Astyanax mexicanus: one gene and its partner. The protein of the gene in region 1 interacts with the protein of each later gene in a pairwise test. Links are inferred from orthologs where the notes say so. Each region holds a gene or a part of one and is shown on either strand. Other genes may lie near its edges.

Evidence for each region.
Region 2: the proteins of rsph1 (region 1) and morn3 interact in binary tests that used the Homo sapiens proteins (3 or more experiments, as listed by UniProt). The two-hybrid records come from large-scale screens. The link is inferred for Astyanax mexicanus from reciprocal best matches to the Homo sapiens genes RSPH1 and MORN3.

Annotation. Positions count from the first base shown.
Region 1 is NC_064418.1:27,595,247-27,606,807, reverse strand, and holds the start of rsph1 (radial spoke head 1 homolog), read left to right. Parts: upstream 1-6,855; 5' UTR 6,856-6,968; coding exon 6,969-7,019; intron 7,020-8,087; coding exon 8,088-8,201; intron 8,202-8,449; coding exon 8,450-8,555; intron 8,556-8,654; coding exon 8,655-8,745; intron 8,746-9,200; coding exon 9,201-9,336; intron 9,337-9,443; coding exon 9,444-9,515; intron 9,516-11,561. Other genes in the region: cln5 (ceroid-lipofuscinosis neuronal protein 5), read right to left, coding at 2,437-2,927, 3,030-3,255, 4,315-4,489, 4,804-4,928.
Region 2 is NC_064427.1:22,463,204-22,474,412, reverse strand, and holds morn3 (MORN repeat-containing protein 3), read left to right. Parts: upstream 1-6,229; 5' UTR 6,230-6,973; coding exon 6,974-7,088; intron 7,089-7,498; coding exon 7,499-7,656; intron 7,657-7,868; coding exon 7,869-8,028; intron 8,029-8,398; coding exon 8,399-8,583; intron 8,584-9,215; coding exon 9,216-9,323; 3' UTR 9,324-9,447; downstream 9,448-11,209. Other genes in the region: tmem120b (transmembrane protein 120B), read right to left, coding at 751-870, 943-1,011, 1,634-1,698, 2,097-2,189, 2,491-2,552, 2,765-2,830, 2,946-3,035, 3,246-3,341 and 4 more. UniProt on the Homo sapiens protein: Assembles a suppression complex (suppresome) by tethering SIRT1 and MDM2 to regulate composite modifications of p53/TP53.

The DNA of each region.
Region 1 (11,561 bases):
CCATGTCTAATGCCAGCAAAAACTCCACAAAAAATAGCTACTCCAACAATAGAAAGACCATTTTTCCCAATTCCCAAGACTTCAGAAGAATCTATGAATGAGCAGGTATTCCCATAATACAGGTGTCCATACAGTGTATGTATATACATATATATATACATATATAAGAAATTTTACTTTTGACGGTTAATTTGTACATTAGCTATTTTTTTTCAGGATGAGTGTAAAAGCTGCTTTCAGTAAAGCTAGGGCTGCATTATAACACCATTAGTTAAGACAACCTGAGAGAGTAGGTTTTAAACTGAAGGTCTGTTAACTTTGAAGTCATTTGAAAGTGTCTTAATGGATGTGCGACACCTAGAATGAGTAGGTGTGGCTTCGCAAAACAGACAAGACAAATTATTTGATGTAATTTAACAATGCCATCCTGAACACATGTTCTGGTTGTATCACTCGTTTAAAAACTTAGAAATGCATTCAAAGAAATCGGTCAGGATCTGACTGCATATTTCATCATTGTGTCAGTTCATGTAGCTCTCGTCACTGGAATGAAGCGCATATTTTTTTCCTTTAAGAAGGAAGACCCGTTATGTCTGTATGTAAAATGCTGTGTGTTTTACTTTGAATAGAAATGTACTAATTTCTCCTGCAGCCCAACTCTGTCTGTGTTTAAAGTTTTAAAGCTAATCTTTCGTTTGAGTGAGAATGCTTCTTTGGTAGATCTCCTATCTCTCCTTGTGTATAACTTATTGTTAAACCTTTTTTATTAATCAACTCATTACAATTTAATGGTTTTATCTTTTCACAGGTGGAATTTATAACTTAGTTATTGACAAGCATGACTGTGTATTTTTTCCATCAGAGAAATAAGCTAATATAAGTACCGGTAATATACATTTTAACGAACAGGTTGTAAAAGAAAATAGTGTTAGTAAAGGTACAGAAGTGCCAGTGGAAGCTTAAATAAGTTGGTCTATGTTAAATCACACTAACGAGTGTAAAGATATCTGGTAGAATTTGATTTAGAATTTTGATCAGTTATTTGAGTTATGATCATACCTTGTTGATGAGCTGTGTTGTTTGTGCACAATCCTGGAAAATATGAGAACAAATGTCACTCAGTTGTATATACTGATTTATATGAGTGATATGTTTGTTATTGTCTATTTAAAAGAAATCAGACTCATAGCCAGTGGTGCGTAACTTATAACTGACAGTTTAACATACATAAATACATTGTTTTGGGGTGAAAACTTGGTATGTAAGCATCAGCTTGTCATTTTCAACATGCTTACTAGCTTCACATTTTGCATTGTTCTAATAAAATTGCATTAAATTCCTAATGTGTGGCTTTTTCCCATTAATCCTCATTTTATGTTTTGTGCTCTCAACTTAGTCACAACCTTTTTTACACAACCACTTAGTGTTCAACAAGCCCAAATGATATTATACCGTATTTTTTTGGACTATAAGGCGCACCTAAAATGCTTCATTTTCGCCAAAATCGTCAGTGTGCCTTAACGTTATAATCCATTGCTCCTTATGTATGAATTCCAACAGCCAGGTTGTAAGGGGGTAAGTAAAGCTACCAGTACTGATAAATTACATAGTATAAGGGAGATAACTGGGGCTGAGAATCACTGTTAACTGGGCTAGTTAGCCCAGCTAACCACGGCTGGCTATGCTGCTAACAGTAGCTGGTTATACTGCTAACCAGGGCTAGCTAGCATTGCAAACCGCAGTTGCCTATGCTGCTAACCACAGCTAGCACTCACATTTGGACAAATTACTGGAATTCTAAGCTTACTGTAAATAAACAGAAGCGCTTTACTTACCCAAATAAATAGTTTTCAGTAGAAAAATCTGTGTATATTAACATCCAGCGCTCGTTTAAATGTTTTTTAAAAAATTACAGTTTTGTTTACTTAGGCGCTTCTCCATTAGAGGGGAAACATGGCGACACCCATGCTAGCAAAATGTTACTCCAGCAAAAAATCAGGACTATACCGTAAATTCACATAGCCTTCTAGGTTTTAGAAAGGAACTGTTTTATGTAATGTCATCTAAACACTGTTAATGTGTTTTTCCAAATGTACCTTCCCCTAAAAAAGTAAAAAAAAAAAAATATATATATATATATATATAAGAAAACATGCATTTCATTGTTTGTGACAAAGACCAACTAAGTATTGTAAAATAGCATGATGAATAATTCAAAATAAATGAGATCTGGGAAAAACCATTTAATATCATGCATTCATTTCATAAGTCTCAATAAAATAAGCAATGACTGGTCAAACAAACAACAAACTGAATAACTGGTTTGGTAGATGAAGCCATAGAAAAATATGTAAAGTATGAGCCTTTTAATCCGTAGTTAGTCAGACTTCATTGGATAATCACAGTCAACAAAATCCTCATGTAAAAAATGCAGTCTTAATGTGGTAAAGGAACTTCCTCGTAAGTAATTTGGATGTACGGTGCCTTCATTGGCAGGTGCCAGTACTCAAAGTTGTAGTACAAATAGAATGTCTTCTCCAGTACTACTTTTTTGTAGGCTTCCATCAGACTGAGGATGAACTGAATCATTGATTGATGAGGCTGGAAAGAGTGGTAAAACTCTCTAATATCTGTAGCCAGAGCTTTCATGGAGGACTGGCCGAAGATAGAGTCATCGTCGCCGAGGTAGGTCGGCTCTCCGCTGTACAGGTATATTTTGGTATAGTTTGTCTGACTTCTGCTCGAGAGCTTGGCTCCCAGCTCTTTGATTTTCCTGTATGTGCGATGTACAAACTGTGAGCAGTCATATGATTCAAACCATGTTGTGGAGTTGAGCCCTGGGTCTGAGCGCACTGTCCATGTCTCATAATAAATCCCTGTCTCATTGTCCTCCTGAACCCATCGTGCCAGATTGTTAAACTGCTCACCTAAGAAAAAGAAGAGAAAAACTGTCAGTGACCTTTGTTGTTAAGCCTGTGAATTACACCATTAACTGTATGTACTAAAACCTTCTGCACTGAGCACAGTACCTGACATTTCTCCCACTTTCTCCAGTGTTCCATTTTGTCGCCAGTGCTCGTCATCTATGCCCTCATAGAAGCATGCAGCGCCTTGATTACACCAAAAAGGAGCTGCTGTGTCCTTTCGTAAATGAGGAAAAGTGCAGTTTCCAAGCTGAAAAAGCTCATACCATTCCATAGTATAGTTTCTTCCTGTCTCTGAGCTGGAAAAACCAATGGCATCGTGCATTATATGCTGAAACAAAAAGAAATAGGGCACTTACTACTGTGATCCATGAGAGACTATGCGTTACAAGACTATGAGATAAGTGGGTTGCTAAGTAAGATTTCTTTTTTAAGGATTATAAGACATTACCTTAGAATAGAACACTATTAAAACAGTGTAACTAACTGTATTAATGCAAATATGTTTTTTTTATCTGATAATGTGATACCCTAACAACAATCCCAAACTTATAACAAACTTATCCTGGTTAAACTTTGATCACAGTCAAGCAAAAACTAGTGTCCTCAAAATAACAACTTCACAGTAGGCCAGTCACAGAAATGATTGCACTATTATTGAAGAGACCATTTAAATGCCACTGACAAAGTGATAATAGAACAGCAAAACAAAGCATTCGTTCCCTTTTAAAGACAACACCTTTGTAATTAATCATAGTTTAATGAATTTATTTAGGGAATTTATTGTTACTTTTTCCCCCCCATATATACTTTTTACACCTACTGTTGTCCACACTGTGTGTGTTTAGCAGTTATTTTGCAGTTATTAAAGCATGTGAAGAAGCATACAAATAAATACAATATGATATCATGGTTATTAAAATGATTGAGGTAATGTCCATTTATTGTACTATAAGTAATTATCGTAAAAGGCTTAATTCACAGGAACTTCACATTCCTCCTTCCTTAATTTAGACCCAAATAAGAACTGCCAGAAAAATACCACTGTTTTTATTTACTAATTCATTACTAATAGTGAAGTAATTAAATAGCTAGAATTATGTTAGATGGTTTAAGTTTAGTTTAGTCTGGATTTTTAAGACTTTTTCTTGGAGTTTATGGAACAGTACAAGGACTCTTTCCGAGATTTTTCTAAATAAAATACATTTTCCGAGGAGGAGAAAAATAGAAGTTATTTTAAAGCGTTTATTTTGGTCCAGTTATTATGTTTTTTTACAACATAAAGAATAACTGTCGAATCCAAATTATTTTAAAAGTAAGTGAGAAAGTGGCAAAAATATATATATTTTTTTGGTGACAGTGATTAATGCATTCTGCAATAAGAACTTACAAATTTTCCCAAGAGATCCCCGTATTTAAATTCCCACACTGGAGTCTGCAGCCGAAACACAGAGATCACATCAGAGTCCCTCATGTAGGGAATACGACCATCAGGGTCTCCGGTGGGGCAGAAGGGGTAGAGAGCTTGACAGTATGGGTCAGTGACTGGACGACGGTCAAATCGCCTGTTTCAAAAGAGAAACACACTGCAGTGACTGTGAGTGTGAGTGAGGCCTGTAATCTAATATAAGCAGCAATATAAGCAAGCATTGTGGACCATCTGAATGGTGCTTGTCACTATATAATACCAGTCAGCTGAACTGTGGAATAAAAAAAACATGCTAGTCTCTGGAGTGATCTAACACTGGTTATCTAGACTAACTAACGTCAATACTAAAAGACTAGGTTTACAAAAAAAATAAAAATAAAACATACACAGAAGCTACACCACTGCATGAACACAGTTGAAACAGTCGGATAAATAATACACAGTTCTTACTTGTAAGGAACAGGCCAATCTTGAGTCCCATAAACACTCTGATCAGAGCTGATCAGGGCTAGAAAGCAGATCTGCAGAAGTGAGTAAAAACAGCGTGCTGGACTCATCTTCAGGCCCGTGTTCATGCTGGACTCCGTGCAGCGAAACTTTCCTCCACTCCGTCCACTCACTTCCTTGTTTTGCTTTTGCTAAATGACTGAGGGCACGTGGTACTGCAACAAGTATGTCACGAGGCCAAAACCGTTTTGTGGACACTATTTTAACTGTGAACCGCTAGAGGAAGCCCGCGAGTTAGTTCTCAGTGAATGGAGTGGAATGGAGCTAAACGGCTAAAACACAATTATAAAAGTAATTAATTTTCTTGTCGAGACATTCTAACTGTACAACTGTAGAAAGTAGACTAAAATATTTTGCTAAAAGATCAGAGAATTACTGCTACTGTGTGCTGACTGCTTGTTGAACTGATGCAGATGAAGTTAAAGCTAGAGAACCTTAAATGAGTTTAAAAGGATTATAACTGGGTAATAGATTATGTATGCACTAATTAAACATTTAATATTGTTCTTTGTTGGAAAAACGAGTACATTTTTCAGTTTAAAAATGATCAAACGTTTATAAAATATGATTTTGCTCACATGATCTACATAAACTTTATCCCACTGCACTCTGCAGTGTATTCATAGTTAGATTGAACCTACTACTGCACTATACGCACCTGTAAATAGCAATGTAACATCTATATTTGCACAGATATACATCTCTGAAAAAGAATAAGAGACCACTTTTGTTTCTGAATCATTTTCTCTGATTTTGCTATTTATAGGTATATGTTTAAGTAAAATGAATATTGTTGTTTTATTCTATAAATTACAGACAACATTTTCCCCCAAATTCCAAATAAAAATCTAGTAATTTAGAACCTTTATTTGCAGAAAATGAGAGATGACAAATAAATATGAAGAAGACTTCATATTCATAAAGTTTTAAGAGTTAAGAAATCAATATTTGGTGGAATGACCCTGTTTTTAAATACAGTTTTCATTCATCTTGGCATGTTCTCCTCCACCAGTCTTTCACATTGCTTTTGGATAACTTTATGCCACTACTGGTGCAAAAATACAAGCAGTTCAGCTTGATTTGATGGCTTGTGATCATTCAGCTTCCTCTAGAAGACTATTTTCAATTTGGTAAAAATCAAAGAAATTGTTTTTAAGTGTTCTCTCATTTATTCCAGAGCTGTATTAGTATTGTATGTTTATTTATGTGTATATATGTTTTGTTATGTTGTAAGTATTGTGTTTGTTCTGTACACAATTTTGTCACTCACCTCAGCACTTGTACTTATATGTGATGTGACATATAATCTAGTGTCTATCAAACCCAGAACATACTCTTAAGTAAGTATTATTGCACAAATTCCTACGCTCCAATCTCCAGCTCCATGATTGGCCAGTAGTTCAGTGTAGTAATTAAATTGTTTGAACTGCTTATTTTCTAGCCAATAAAACTGCACGAAGCGGGGTTTGTCAGAATGCAGGTGTTTTAAAATAAATGTGTTTTATAAAAACATAACTTGTGATAGGAAACATAAGTATATGTTATATATATAAGTATATGTATAATACAGAAAAAGCAGAGCATGATATGATACGTCAAAATAATTAAACCATGAAAACGTCTACAAATAAGCAAAACTTTTTCACATTCGTTACTCAGGTAGATTTATAAATACTAATGTTTTATTATTCCAGTAAACTAAGTAAGGTATTTATATTATTTTTTTTGAATATTTGTACTCAGTTAATTCATTTAACATTAATTCATTTAACATTAACATTAATTCAGTTAACATTTCAAACAAGCAGAGTTTGAATAATGTTTCGCAGCTGCTGTCTGCTGGAGGAACAGAGAGTTTAACCGCAGAGGCAAAAGGTTAAAAATGTTCACTGTGGAATTAAATAAGCGAAATGAAAGAGAAAAACCCTGAGAAATAATTGATTCATTTTCAATAGTCGACCAGCTGCTGGAGAGATCAGTTGGCGGATTCTGCGCATGTCTGTTGTAGTCCGTGCACGCGCATTGTCATGGTAACAGAAAGCGTTTCTTTACCGCTCCTCGACTGCGCCCGTTTACTGCTGGGTTTCTTTGTTAACTGAGAAAAAACGATGTCAGACTCCGGATCTGAAATCCTAGAGGATGAGCAGAAGTCAGCTGGAGTAAGTTGGTGTGTGTGTGTGTGTGTGTGTGTGTGTGCTGTGTGTGTGCTCTGGTGTCAGTAGCTGTGAGTGAGTTAGTAACTGTGGTGGTGTGTGTGCGTGTTGTCTGCGTGTGTGTGTGTGTGCTCTACTTAATGTCAGTAAGTTAGCTGTGGGTGAGTTAATAACTGTGCTAGTGTGTTTGTGTGTGTGTGTGCTGTGGTGAGAGTCGGTAGCTGTGGGTGAGTTAGTAACTATGCTGGTATGTGTGTTGTGTGTGTTTTTGTGTATGTGCTCTGGTCAGTGTCAGTAGCTGTGGGTAAGTTAGTAACTGTGCTGGTGTGTGTGTGTGTGTGTGTGTGTGTGTTCTGTAGTGAGTGTCAGTAGCTGTGGGTGATTTAGTAACTGTGCTGGGCTGGTGTGTGTGCTCTAGTGTCAGTAGCTGTGAGTGAGTTAATAACTGTGGTGGTGGCGTGTATGTTGTCTGTGTGTGTTTGTGTGCTGTGGTGAGAGTCAGTAGCTGTGGGTGAGTTAGTAACTATGCTGGTATGCGTGTGTATTTGTGTGTGTGCTCTGGTCAGTGTCAGTAGCTGTGGGTGAGTTAGTAACTGTGGTGGTGGTGTTGTGTGTGTGTGTGTGTGTGCGTGTGTGCTCTGGTTAGTGTCAGTAGCTGTGGGTGTGTTAGTAACTGTGCTGGTGTGTGTGTGTGCTCTGGTTAGTGTCAGTAGCTGTGGGTGAGTTAGTAACTGTGCAGGTGTGTGTGTGCTGTGGTAATTGTCAGTAGCTGTGGGTAAGTTAGTAACTGTGCTGGTGTGTGTGTGTGTGTGTGTGTGTGTGTGTGCTGTAGTAAGTGTCAGTAGTTGTGGGTGAGTTAGTAACTGTAAATGTGTCAGTAGCTGTGGGTAAGTTAGTAACTGTGCTGGTGTGTTTGTGCTGTAGTGAGTGTCAGTAGCTGTGGGTGAGTTAGTTACTGTGCTGGTGTGTGTGTGCTGTAGTGAGTGTCAGTAGCTGTGGGTGAGTTAGTAACTGTAACTGTGTCAGTAGGTGTTGGTGGGTGATTTAGTAACTGTGCTGGTGTGTGTTTATTAGGAGTACAGTGGGGAGCGGAATGAAGCCGGGGAGAGACACGGCTCTGGCAAAGCGGTTCTGCCCAACGGAGACATTTACGAAGGACAGTATGAACACGGGAAAAGATCCGGGAAGGTATTTAATTTAAACACATAGAGCACCCATTAGCAAAAACTGCATCTGTGTGGACCAAGAGAAATTACTTGTATTTAATTGAATTATTATTACTTGTATTAATTACAATGTTTTAAACTTGTATTTAAAATAGATTATTTTTTTTGTAATATTTATGATTTAGTACCTTACCTTACCTTCTTCCCGCAAGTTGCTGTTGTTTTTATGTTTTTAACAAAAACTAAAAGCTGAAATGTATAAATTTTCAGGGAACATACATATTCAGGAATCAAGCTCGATATATAGGGGAATATTACCTGAACCTAAAACATGGACAGGGCATTTTCTACTACCCAGACGGTTCCAAGTATGAAGGTGAGAGTTTAAAAAAAATCTTCAGAATAAGTAGAGTTCATTACTTTAAAGGTTCAGAATACAGTCTGTCTGTTCTGTTTCCTTCCTGTTCTCTGTTAGGTTTCTGGGTGGAAGACCAGCGGCAAGGTCATGGCGTTTATACATATTCCAATGGGGACACATATGATGGAGAGTGGGTGCAGCATCAGAGGTAAAACTGACAACCCAGTCCTCATAACTCACTATAATAGGCTATCTTTTATACATAGCATTTATTCTGTCAAGGAAAGTGTAGTTATGCATATTTTTTCTTACACCAGGGCAGTTCTTTACAAACATACAAGCAAAGAAAAGATCTTAATTTAGCTAAAATGGTTTATATGATATAAAAAAATAGACCAAAATAAATATTGATTACCATGAAAATATCCCATGGATAATTTTCAGTAAATCATGAATAACCAATAATTTTAAGGGCTGCAAAATGGAAATATGTATTTATATAAGCATATTTGAACTATAAGAGTCACAATGAGAGGACAAGGCCTTCTAAGGGGAGCACCCTGACTCATCCAGAAAACTGAATCATAAACAGATGCTACCAACAATAGCAAGGTCTATTATCTACTGACTTTTCCTAACTCTCCTTTTCTCTTCACTTCACAGGCATGGCCAGGGAGTGTACACATACCATGATACAGGCCTTAAGTACACTGGCACATGGGTCAAGGGTAAGATGGAGTCCGCTGGAGAGTTTATACACCTAAGCTACAGATACCAGGGCAACTTTTTCAACAATAAAGTAAGTCAGTTCTTTTTCACTCACATGCCACTGCACTTTGCTTTAAATGAATGCATTGATTTCTGTTGCATCAGTATTATGTTCTTTAAAATCACTTTTATTTTCAGCCCATAGGTCAAGGGAAGTATATATACGATAATGGCTTTGAACAGCACGGAGAGTATGTGCAGGTGGAGCAGGTCAGTTCTTGAATCTAAATGTGTTATATTGAGGAGTTTTATTAAGGTATACATTTGAAGTATATATGTTTCAGTTTTTAGTTCAAGCTAGTCAGCTTCCTTCTGTCTTGCATTATGATGAATGTGTGGTATGAAGCATGTGTATGAATACAGTCGTGACTAACACTCTCATATATACGGAGCCCGGGAGGGGCCGTGGATAAAAAAAATAATAAAATCGAGTGAACGATGTAGCAGTTCGTGCTCACGTTTTCTTTAATTCGAGTGAACGATTTGCAATTCGTGCTCACGATTTCTTTAATTCGTGCTCACGATTTCTGTAATTCGTGCGCACGATTTCTGTAATTCGAGTGAACGATTTCTGTAATTCGTGCTCACGTTTTTATGCGCAATAAGACAAGAAGCTCGGAGGGAAAGGAGCATTTTCTCTCTTGATCTGTTACAGGGGTGCAGTAATGATAATCAGTTATCTACCTTTATAACCTGCTGTTATTAATGCACTAGTGTTACAGTTAGATGTACAGTACAGTGAGCAGATTTTGCCTGGTGGTGGAATCTCTACAGCGCGTGGGGGAGAGCCGTCCGCGGCATCGGTTCCCCCGCCGCCAGACACCTGCCGCGCGCGCAGGTCTTCACGGAGCTTATTTACCAACAATGTAGACAAATACAGTCAATTCCAGTCATGAATAAAGGAAACAAACATTTTACTGATGCAGGACAACTGTGTGTTATTAAAACCAGATCAAAACAAAGTTATAATGCAATGTGCAAATGTGTTTATTAATTTCTAAATAACATTCAGCCAGCCTCCAAGGAAATGCACACCTTCTTAAATCTGGTTACATCATTATTACTTTTATGATAGATTTAATCTATATTTTAATAATTTGTATAATAAATAAACACATAATTCAGAAAATATACATTTAAGAAGTTTATAATTATTATATTTTTTTTATTTGAAGCTTGTGGCATGTTTCTGGGCAGGACACTGTGATTTGAGAATAAGCAGATATTCAGGACATTTCATCAGATATAGAAACTTAATTATTTTAGGAAACATATTGGAATAAATTATCAAATTGATCCAAATTATTATATGAAATGCCTATTTACTAAATATCTTAATACATTGTATTAATAGTATTTTAGACCAGCTATTTTGATTTTATATAGTGTTACATATTTAAAGCAGCTCTTATATGAGCCATTCATAGACAACTGTCACACCTTGCATTAATTTTGTATTATCTTTATTAACTTTTACAGTGTACATTTGGACCTAAGTCTTATAGCTGTATATTTATATAATTATACTTCTTTACGTTATACTATTGTTGGAAATAAGAAATTATAAACAGTTCCACATTGCATTATAACTTTGTTTTGATCTGGTTTTAATAACACACAGTTATCCTGCATTAGTAATGTTTGTTTCCTTTAATCATGACTGGAATTGACTGTATTTGTCTACATTGTTGGTAAATAAGCTCCGTGAAGACCTGCGCGCGCGGCAGGTGTCTGGCGGCGGGGGAACCGATGCCGCGGACGGCTCTCCCCCACGCGCTGTAGAGATTCCACCACCAGGCAAAATCTGCTCACTGTACTGTACATCTAACTGTAACACTAGTGCATTAATAACAGCAGGTTATAAAGGTAGATAACTGATTATCATTACTGCACCCCTGTAACAGATCAAGAGAGAAAATGCTCCTTTCCCTCCGAGCTTCTTGTCTTATTGCGCATAAAAACGTGAGCACGAATTACAGAAATCGTTCACTCGAATTACAGAAATCGTGCGCACGAATTACAGAAATCGTGAGCACGAATTAAAGAAATCGTGAGCACGAATTGCAAATCGTTCACTCGAATTAAAGAAAACGTGAGCACGAACTGCTACATCGTTCACTCGATTTAATTGTTTTTTTTATCCACGGCCCCTCCCGGGCTCCGTACATATAGGACTTACATGGATGAAATGTGGCCTAGGTGGGTTCCAGCCAGGTGGGCAAGTGTGTTTTTACAGCTCTGGAAAAAAATAAGAGA
Region 2 (11,209 bases), on another chromosome or scaffold:
TAAGGTCACCCCCAACTCTTCTCAACCCCCTTAACTCCCCACCTCATTTTCAAGTGCCAATATCTTCAAGTTTATTAAATGAGTCACCCAGTTCTCCCAGCCCAATGATGTGCTTCCTCTTCCTATTTTTAGGAAACATTTACAGTTAAAGGTTTTCATAAAGGGAATGTCGGCCAGTAACATTGTCGCTCTCAGATGTGGGAGAAAGTCAGTAACAACTGAACTTTATTCAGCATCATTTAAACATACATCATCATGATCATCACACAGACACACACACATACACACTCTCTCGTCCCTTTGACCATCAGTGTATCTCCCAGCAAAAAAGGTAAATAAAGTGGACCTGTGATTCTTTGTAAACATTCATGCATTGACCCGAAACCCGAAACCGAGCAAAGTTTGTTTGCCTACTGAAGCTACAGCGCTACGATGGCAAGGAGCACAGAGTCCAACCCCCAAATCACCATCCTAACAGCAACAGAGCCGAGCTGGAGAGTCCGGGTCCGGATGCGCCCTGGGGTTCTGAACACCTTGCTGGATCGAGGCCAGGCAGTCAGAGCAGAATTCCAGGGCGGACCCGGACCCGGACTCGCCACACTTAAACAAAGCAAAAAATAAACGGTACAGGGTGAAATGTGAGGATCTCTGGGTTACTCCCCAAACCCTTAGGGTCGCAGTCTCTTTAGCGTTCAGAGATACGGCACCGCCGAGCTCCATGGTGCCCCACAGTGGCTCCTGGCTGTCGGTTCAGTCACTCTTGTGCTCGATTTCCTCCTGGTTCTTCAGGAGCTTCTGGTGGACCACCTTTAGTGTTGTCAGGAAGTTCCCCAGGAACAGCACCAGGAATGTTAGCGCCAACATGAACACCTGCAAAGAGCAACAGTTGTAACGTTTTGCTAAGGTAATGATTAATGATCGAACTAGGAATGAGCTGTTTACCTGCCACTCTTTGCAGTCTTCGCGAGCAGACAGCCGGAACAGAGTCACTGAGTTATACAGCTGCCAGAACTGCACACAAAACACACTCCAGTTATTACTCACACTCTACACACCCCACAGGAGACCCCACAGGAGAGACCACAATAGAGCAGCTATTATTATTTGGTTGGTGCACTATTCTCAGTACAGCAGTTTAGTACTGCAGTGTTGAGAATAACGACCCACCACTCAAATAATAATAGCTGCTCTGTGAGTATTGAAGAACAGAATGAAAGGAGATAAATAATAAAGTATTAGAAAAACAGATACAGAACTACAGTCTGTAAATATTATACAACTACTGAGTGAAATATTTGAGCAGTGGAGCTAAAGATATACTGGATAATATGTGTAGAAACAAGGCAGTTGTCATAAGGTTATGCTTGATTGGTGTATGTATATACACACACACTGCAGTGTTTGTTTCTGAAGTATCTGCTTATTAAAGTACTCAGTGTGTGATTTTAGAGTTCTGGGGAAGAGCAGTATGTTCTGATGTAATCAGCAGACACAGATGAATGATAAACACCGGAGAACTGTTTTAAATACAGTGTGTATAGGGTAAGGTAATGCCAGATGAGGTTATTTAAGGTAAGGTAATGTTAGGTATGGTAATGTGAGATAAGGCAGCTACAGTAATGATGGTACTCACATGTCCAAAGAAGAGAAATGGCAGCAGGAAGGTTAAACCCCTCCACATCCATGACTGGAACCCCTCTACAACACACACCATACGGCTTTTTATTATTGTGTATTTTATTTCCTCTTCAGCTGCTTTAGATTAATAAACAGAGGATTTTCCACTGTATGCCGAGTTTAATGTTGATCTGAGTTTAGATATCGGGTGCAGGGAATTAAACCCTCTTCTGCCACGGAGATGGTGGAGTGATTACCCACTACACTAAACACTGGTCCATACCACCTAAACTCCTCCCACTGCTGATACTGAGTGCTGATTGGTCAGTGTTATTGTTGCTGTGTGTTTATTGGTTGGTGTTATTGTTGCTTATTAATTAATTGTTTAGAAAGCCTTGTTCTGAAGCTCTATGGATTCTTTAAAGCACCCCCTGGTATCTGATCGTGATGCTGCAGGTTCTGTTGGTGACTGGGCTCACCTACGGTCAGGTCCAGCTGGTTCCTCTCCCCCAGAGCCCGGAGCCGATACAGACACCCACTCTGATAATAATATTGCAGAAACTGTACTAAACCTGCAACACACACACAAAGTCAAACATTAACACAGGGACACACAGCTTGGAGTAACAATGGGTGTGTCCCAACTGTGATCACACTGCACTTGGAGAACCTGCAGTGATGCATGTTGGCGTAGCAACACCATATAACTTCCTGTTATTACTAAATTAGATAGTATATTAATATTTAGTGCACGAACCTACCAAACCCGCACTATTAATATAAAATAATCTATAACTTACAGTATTAGAGTGTAGGACACCATTGGGACACAGCCAGAGTGTGTGTGTGTGTGTGTGTGTGTGTGTGTCTTACTCTGGTAAATGGAGAAGGCGAGGAATTGACTCCTGAACAGTTGATATATCGCCCCCTCAGGCCTGAAACAGAACAGCAAATTTACATATTACATTTTCAGCCGTTTAGCCACGCTCATTTAACCTATTACAGTTTAGCCATTCAGTCTACAGCCGATTAGTCCCGCCCATTCCGTCTAAAGCCCTTTAGCCCCACCCATTAGGTCTACAGAAGTTCAGATAAAGCTGTATATGGGTTCTGATGAATATAATAGGGTCAATTATCTGAATCTCACCAGGTGAGCATCACTCCCGACAGGAAGGTCGACACGTAGTGATGTGACACCCACCAGCCCTTAATCCTGCAGGGGAAAATAATTAACATATATCAGATTATAACAGTATTACTAATTATTAATATAATAACTGCAGTAATAACAGAGTGATGTAATAGGAAGAGGTGGAGTCTGATCTGACCTGGAGCCGTTACTCATCAGTATACTCTCCCGGATGGTCAGAGTGCAGTAATACCACACCAACAAAAAATTAAAGATTTCATCTGTAACACTGCAACACACACACACACGTTTTCTATACACAAACAGCAATATAATTAGTCATCACTATTAATGCACACTAGAGTTGGCCGGGTTTAGCAGTTGTCGTGCAAGTTTTGGTAGTTGTCTGGAGGGGTTTGGCCGTTGTTGGGCGGAGTTTGGCAGTGGGAGGAGGCATGTGATGCTCTGATTGGTGGATGTACGGTGCAGGCGGACTCACCGGTAGTTAAGCAGGAAGAGACAGGTAACAGCGCCGAACATTAGGATTATAGTCATATAAAGCTTAAACTTCTCATATTCATCTTTATACGCAAACCTGAAACACACATCAGCGATATTTATCCAATTAATAATCAGGAAAAAGTGTAATATTTTCATAATTTGCAATGATTTATGGGACTTACTTTGCCTGATTACTCAGTAGTGTAACATTCACATTCCCCAGGACCAGATTTAAATACAGCCTGTAGAACAAAGAACCACAATCAATCCAACAGAACCACCGTAACAACAATGCCCAGCCCCAGAGGACTGAGGGGTGCAACTGAGTGCTGGGCAGAAAAAAGGGAGACAGAAGGTCTCAGTAATTTGATCATAATCAGCTGCTGCTGTGCTGATTATCCGATTATTACTGTTACAGAACGCACTGATCTGATTACTTACCCGTTCCTCTTTGGTAAATAAGATTCCATATCAAAGAACACATTCTGCTTCTCCTTAATCTGAGTCTGCAGATCAGCGATCACCTCCGATTGGTCCGCATCACATGCCTTTGCACACCTGAATACATTCATCACATTGTAACATTATATTGTTCTTATTATATTATATCATTATAATGTATATATACATTAATCACATTATATACATTTAAATCACACAATTTCACACACCTGCTTATATTAATCACATTAATTAACATATCACAGCACATCAATTTTATGCAATCGCACACGTTTGAAACAAAACATATAATTACATTAATTACATCACACACAATCACATCACATAAAACGAAAGACAACACTCTAACATACATCAGTTACATCCCACTAACTAAATCACATCATATTAATCAAAACACAATTAAACCACTTATGACTAAAACCAGTCATACCATAACATCAGTCCATATCAGTCACCCCCCATTAATCACAAACACACACACAATCACATCATATCATACCAATCATAGCATTGTATTATGGCTCAGCTGACCAACCAGAAACCAGGTTATACTAAACTGAACTATAGTAAAGTAAAGTTGAGGTGAAGTGAGCTGAAGTGTAAACAGAATCCAGGATTTGGATCCTGATCCGGATCCGGTCGTGATACGTACTTGTGGAGCGTTTTCCGGAGCTCTTTAAGGCCTTTCCTCTGTTTGCAGATGGAGCTACTGCAGATGGCCTGCAAGCTGGTCAGCTCCTCCAGCTTCTGCCTGTACACTTTATGAGTCTCCTAAACAAAAACAGGGGAAGTGAGCAAATTTAGTAGGGGCAGTGATTTGGATAGCCTCCTGAAGGATGTATGGAGTGTTTGTAAGTGTTTATTTATTTTATTTAATTCTTGTAAGTGACGAGGTAAAAGACTAAAGCTGGATTTAACTCAATGTGATGTTATGACACATCATATCAAAAACAAATGCTGTAAATATAGCATATTTGGGAGCTTTACGTAAAAATCCCCTTCGCGATTTCGCTCCGACTCCCTGGCTGGATCCGCTGCAGCGGAGCCATACAGGGAGTCGGAGCGAAATCCCGGAGCGGGTTTATACTTAATGTCCTCCATCTAGCTTTAGCTAGTAAGTACAGGCTTCGTAAGTGGTTACTGACCTCCAGGGATGTAAAGACAAGCTAATCATTATGAAATATAATCAGCAAATCAATCAAACAATAACAAAACATAAAACTTAAACAACTAAACACTGCCAAATCCACCTTTCAGCAGGCATGGTAGCCACCATATCCAGGGTTAGACCTGATTATACCCACATATACACACTTTACCACCTTATCACTCATTAATACTGATCAAAAATCAATCCCCAGGCTAATCAATTACTCCCCCAAACCTGTAGCTGCTGATATTCCTGCTCTATTTCCCTCCAGTCACTCTCACAGCGCTCCAGTGACATTGTAGCCGCGTCCACACTCAATACACTGTCCCTCGCTGCCCGCGGACGAGTTCCAATACCCTCACTCGTGTCCTACGAAGTACGCTTGAGTTCCAGGGCGTGCTGGTGTTTGCGGGGTTGGTGTTCTTCGTGAACGGAGTTCTGCCGCCTGCGGGAGGATTTGGAGCAGAACTCGAGAAAAAACAAGAAGAAAACGCAGGACAGAAAGTTCCTCGCTGATTAAGGGCTCGAGGAAGGGAGCGAGGGCGCATAAAGGGACGCGGCCCGTTCTGCCACTTAGCGCTGACTGGCTGCTGTGCTTCTTCTGCGCGTCATACTTGGAGTATCAGCGCTCCCTGGCGCCGCCTACCGAGTGCAGCCTGTAATCTGTAATCAGCAGCTCCGATCTGTTTTAGAATAAAATTAATATTAATATTTAAAATGATGAATATAGTTTCTAAGCAGTAAATATAATAAATATTTATATTTATAACGTTTACTGACTAACACTAATTCATTCAGAGCCGAGTTTAAAAATTTTTTTTTAAACACAACTCTGAATCAGTTTTCAATGGTCACGTGGTCACAAGAGTCGATTCCCCATGAATTCTATGCAAACTTTATAACCTAGAAATAATCTTAAAAAATGTTATTACAAAATTCATAATCCTGTTACATTATCAGCTAAAATAACTAACCTGTCTTTTTAATGAGTGAGTGTGAAGGTGACGACTCCTGATTCCCAAACTCGCGAAATTTGAGAATCGACTCCTTTAAGAATCGACTTCGTTAAGAATCGACTTCCAGCCCTTCCAAGCCTCGGTTTAAAGCTTTAAAACTTTTTTATTAAAGTATATAAAGTTAATTCTCTGTTTAGGAAATATTTAACTTTACAGATATTAATTTCCTCATGTTTTTAGATACTTTTTTAACTCAAAATGACTGATATATACAAATCCTTTATAAATAAATTAATGTTTAGAAGTAAGAAATATTACTAGTATTGTGAGAAAATTCGGTATAAAGATTATTTACTGTCGGTATTATATATTTATACACTCTGTAGTTTAGCAGTTTTAATAGCTTTATTATATATCTTATTTGTATTGATGAAAGTAAACAGTAATAAAGTACAGGGCCGTGTTTGTGTAGGTTTCAGTAGTGAAGGGAGGAAGGGTAGCTCCCGAATTGGGACAATTTAAATGAGGCAGTTTGGAACACAGCCGGGTTGCCATGATACGCAGTAAACAAAATGCGGCCGATAAAGTTACTGATCTGCAGATTCACCACAAACTCGCCAGAACCAGAACCGAGTCACAGCCTCCAGAACTGAGTTAAAGCCTTTAGAACCGAGTCACAGCCTCCAGAACAGAATTAGAGCCTCCAGAACCGAATTAGAGCCTCCAGAAACGATTTATAACCTCAAGAAGTGAGTTTAAGTCTCCAGAACCAGAACGGAGTTACAGCCTTCAGAACCAGAAGCAGGACTGAGTTACAGCCTCCAGAACCAGAACTGAGTCACAGCCTCTAGAAACAGTACCAAGTCATAGCCTCCAGAACTAAATTACAGACACCAGAACTGAGTGACAGCCTCCGGAACTGAGTCACAGCCTTCAGAACCAGAACCAAAACTGAGTTACAGCCACCAGAACCGAGTAACAGCTTTTAAGAAAGGGGTTACAGAATCCTAAAGCGAGTTACAGCCTTCAGAACTGGGTTACAGAATCCAGAACCGAGTTACAGCCTCTAGAAACGAGTTAAAGCAGCTGAACCCAGCTCTGCTGAGCCTGAGACCCACTCTGAACCCCAGAACCAGGTCCAGTTAACTTGGAGCGATGTCTCTCACCAGACTGTGGGACAAGAAGGCGGAGAAGAACGGTGTTCTCCGGACGGTGTTCTCTGTTACTGGTGACCAGTACACTGGAGAGTGGCTGCAGAACCGCAAACATGGTACCAAGATCCACAACATTCTCCTTATGGTTCTGCTCTATTTGCACTATTGAACTAACTATATGCATTACTAAACTTTATACCCACTACTGAACTAACTATACATTGTACTGAACTAACTAACACACTACTAAACTAAGTCTGCACACACTGAACTAACTCTATACAAAAAATACTGAACTAACTATACAGACTACTAAAATATCTGTGCACACATTAACTAACTATACGCATTACTAAACTTTATACACACTGCTGAACTTACACTATGCATTACTGAACTCTACACACTACAGATCTATTTCTATGCACTCTGCTAAATTAAATATACATATACTGAACTGTACAGGATACTGAGTTATATGTGTTATGGTGAGTGCTAAGGGTGCCGATTGCTCTACTGTGTGCAGGTAAGGGAACTCAGGTGTGGAAAAGGGCAGGTGTGGTTTATGATGGTGAGTGGAGGTTTGGGAAGCGGGATGGTTTCGGCACTTTGAGCAAACAGTCGCCACCCTCTAACAACTACGAGGTGATTTACTCAGGAGAATGGAAAAACGACAAGAAGGAGGTGAGTCTACTGGGAGGGCCCTAACTTTTATAGGCTGAATGGGGAGGGTTAAAATGCTGAATGGGTGGAGCCAAACAGCTGAAGGGCTGAATTGGTGGGGCTAAACTTCTGAAGAGCTGAATGAGTGGGGCTAAACCTCTGAAAAGCAGAATGGTTGGAGCTAAACTTTTGGAGGACTAAATGGGTGTGACTAAATGTGTTTGTGTGTTTAGGGTTTTGGAATGGAGGTCTACAGCCCCAGCTCATTGTATGAGGGTCAGTGGGTGGAGCATGAGAGAAGTGGCTCAGGCAGGATGTTCTACCCCAATGGAGATGTTTATGAGGGGGAGTGGCTGAAGGACAAACCACATGGACAGGGCGTCCTAACACTTGGTACTGACCACACACCCAGTTATATAAGCCTGTACCCCACCAATTAGAATAGTGCTAACCTCATGGCTAAATCCTCACATAATGGAATTATCAGTTCAACCTTAAATGGTGCAGAAGTTTTATTAGAACACTGTACAGGTGTCTCCTGCAGTTTTCTGTCAGTTATATGAGGTTGTTTTTGCCTTGTCTTACCAGCATATGCGGTACATCTCCTGAGGTTTCTTGGTCTTCCAGAGCTCATCTTGACATCCACAGTTCCCCTGAACTGCCCTAAATTCTTTAACAAAACTGTCCGTTCCACCTTAAATAATACAGCTGCTGTAGCAGCATTCAGACAGGTAGCTAATTTATTTATGTCTGTGTGTTGAAGCAAACGGGAACAGGTATGAAGGAAGCTGGAAAGACGGGAGGAAAAACGGACCCGGTTGCTTTTTCTACCTGGATAAAGGTCAGCTGTACGAGGGGTTCTGGGTGGACGACGTGGCGAAGTGTGGTACGATGTGCGATTTCGGACGAGAGCATGCAGCCACACCCACAGTTTATCCCATCCCTCAGGTAAAAATTACATTTAATATATTTACATATTTAGCTTATAGACTACAAAAAATATTGTTGGTGGCTGTGATCAAAATAGCTCCCTATTTACTATTTTCTCGGAGTGTCCTAAGAGCACCATAAACACTCCCATAATTGATTTATAGTACACATCGCTGTATAATACATGAGCTAAATGTGTCTCAAAATGTTAAGTTTCGGTCCCATCCAATCCATAGTCTGCTTTAAAGTCTCCACCCATTTAGCCTGCATCATATATGGATATATTTATTGAATTATAGGAACTTTAAACTTTCTAAGGCCCTAATTAGTCTTACTAAAGTTACTGCTTTATTACTCTACATGGTGGAGCTATAATCAAATAAATAGGGTTAATTCCATAATAACTGATATTTGATTATTTAGGAGTATTTTATTCTCTTCAGTAACACAGATGCTGTGAAGTATCGCAGCGAACTGTCTTGTGATATATCGAGTATAGCAAAATCACAGTATTGGGATAATATTGTATCGTGAGGTGCCCCGTGAATCAGACCTCTAATCAATACAAATATTCACATTAAGGTTCTTTAGAGGCGTGGTTTATCTCTAAAGAGTGCACATGTGTGAGGTCAGGTGTGCCCTCTCCTCAGGTGCAGCTGCAGGATGCTGAAAGTGTGTTACTGGAGGGAATTGCCGACTGTTCCAACATCGGAGAGCAACACCAGTACGACAAGAGCAGCCCAGAAACACCTGAGTGAAAACACACCTGCTCAACTCACAGTCAGAACCCCCCACCCCATGTCTGATTATCACACACTCTGAACTGAGAGACTGGAAGTTAAAACAGATTATAGCTGTATATAAACATAATTATAATTATGACTTTAAATGTGTGTTTATTGATGAAGGATTATGGGTAATGGTGGTTGTATTGTGGTGAAACTGCGGCAGTAAACACTAAAAGGTCAATATTAGAATTATTAAAAAAAGAATCAGTATATATTTTAGTTATTCTATTGCTGAGAAGCCAGAGAATCACTGCTCAGACATGGGTTTATGAGATTCAGTTTTATTGGATTAAAATGTTTATGAAGTTTATGACAAAAATGTTCCAGTTCTTATCCAGTAAACAATAAAATAATACAAACAGGCTCCACCTTCCTCCTCATGTAAACAGTTAATATTTGTGTCTTATTCTATTTGGTCATAAAATTAATATTCTGTAAACAGCCAGTGGAATCAATCTGCAGCCGTGCTAATTCCGCTAACTCAGACGGACACACTTTCACATTAAAACTGCTTCGGTCAGATTCTCCTTAAACACAGTTATTTAACTTAAGAAATTTATCCAAAATCTAAAAACCTGAACTTAAACACTATAAACATCATAGTTTTCCCTTAGCTAATCAGGCTAACTGTGAAATTAGCCCTCTGAGACCCGTTTTTCAACATAAAGGTTTCAGAAACTTTACCATTACTATAATGTAAACATTCATTTTCTGTAAAGTGCTCACCAGATCAACATTTAATTAAAACTGATATTAAACTGAAATATTTGTATATATTGAGAGGAGCAGAACACTGACATTGTTCTGATTATCTCTCTCTGATATCGAATCCAGTGTTTATGTAAACACTGTAAGAGAGGAGAGTGAGATGCTGTAAGGGGTAAATCATTATGTTCACGATGTCGTTATGCGGAATTAGGAGTGTATGTCATACAGTTAGCGCTTACCGCTTCGTTCAACACAGGCAGCTAATCAGTTCTGTTAGATCAGAGTCTGAATAAAAACTGTAAACTGAAGTGTCTTCATCAACAAATTGCTTCGATCTGCTCACATGATCAATAAACACAATGACACAACTGTAATCTAAAAACAGATAAATATTAAATAATAATGAGCTTATGATCGGACTGCAGTCACCGGACAGAATAACGTTACGGACAGTTTGTTTTAAGCGTTTAACAAGCATTTCATCGCATGCCACAATCAGACCCGCAGCCACGTTCACATTACAGGAATAATCAGACCTGATCACTGAGTGAAAATTTATCAGTTTCAGATCAACTTTACTTTATATCAATGTGGGTAATCAAATAATTGGGGAAAACTTCAGAGTAACAGGAGTTAGATAATAATCAGATTTCTATTTTTAAACCAGCCAATAAACTCACAGATACGTAAACTTTAAACCTTCTTAAGTGAATTACACGACTTATGTTAAAATAGACCTGCTTTACCCATATATATATATATATATATATATATATATATATATATATATATATATGTTGTAACAGTTTTTATGGGTTATTTGTGCTGATTTCCAGAATGTTTAGCAACATTAGTCTACCATCTTCTTCTGTAAAACATCAGATACTAAATTTGACGTGGCTAATTAATGAATCTGCAGAATAATCATGAATAATTGATTGAATTTTACTGCGCTGATTGTTTAATTCGTCATGCATAGTCATTCCGTGTTGTTTAGTCATTCTGGGCAGAATGACAATATATATTTTTGTGATATGTTTTATCATGATAGGATACCTTTTTACCATAAAGTCCTGGGACAGCAGGATGTAAACTGATCATTAAGTGATTCCTCAGGGGACAGAGGGCTTGCAAATGCCAACACCTGT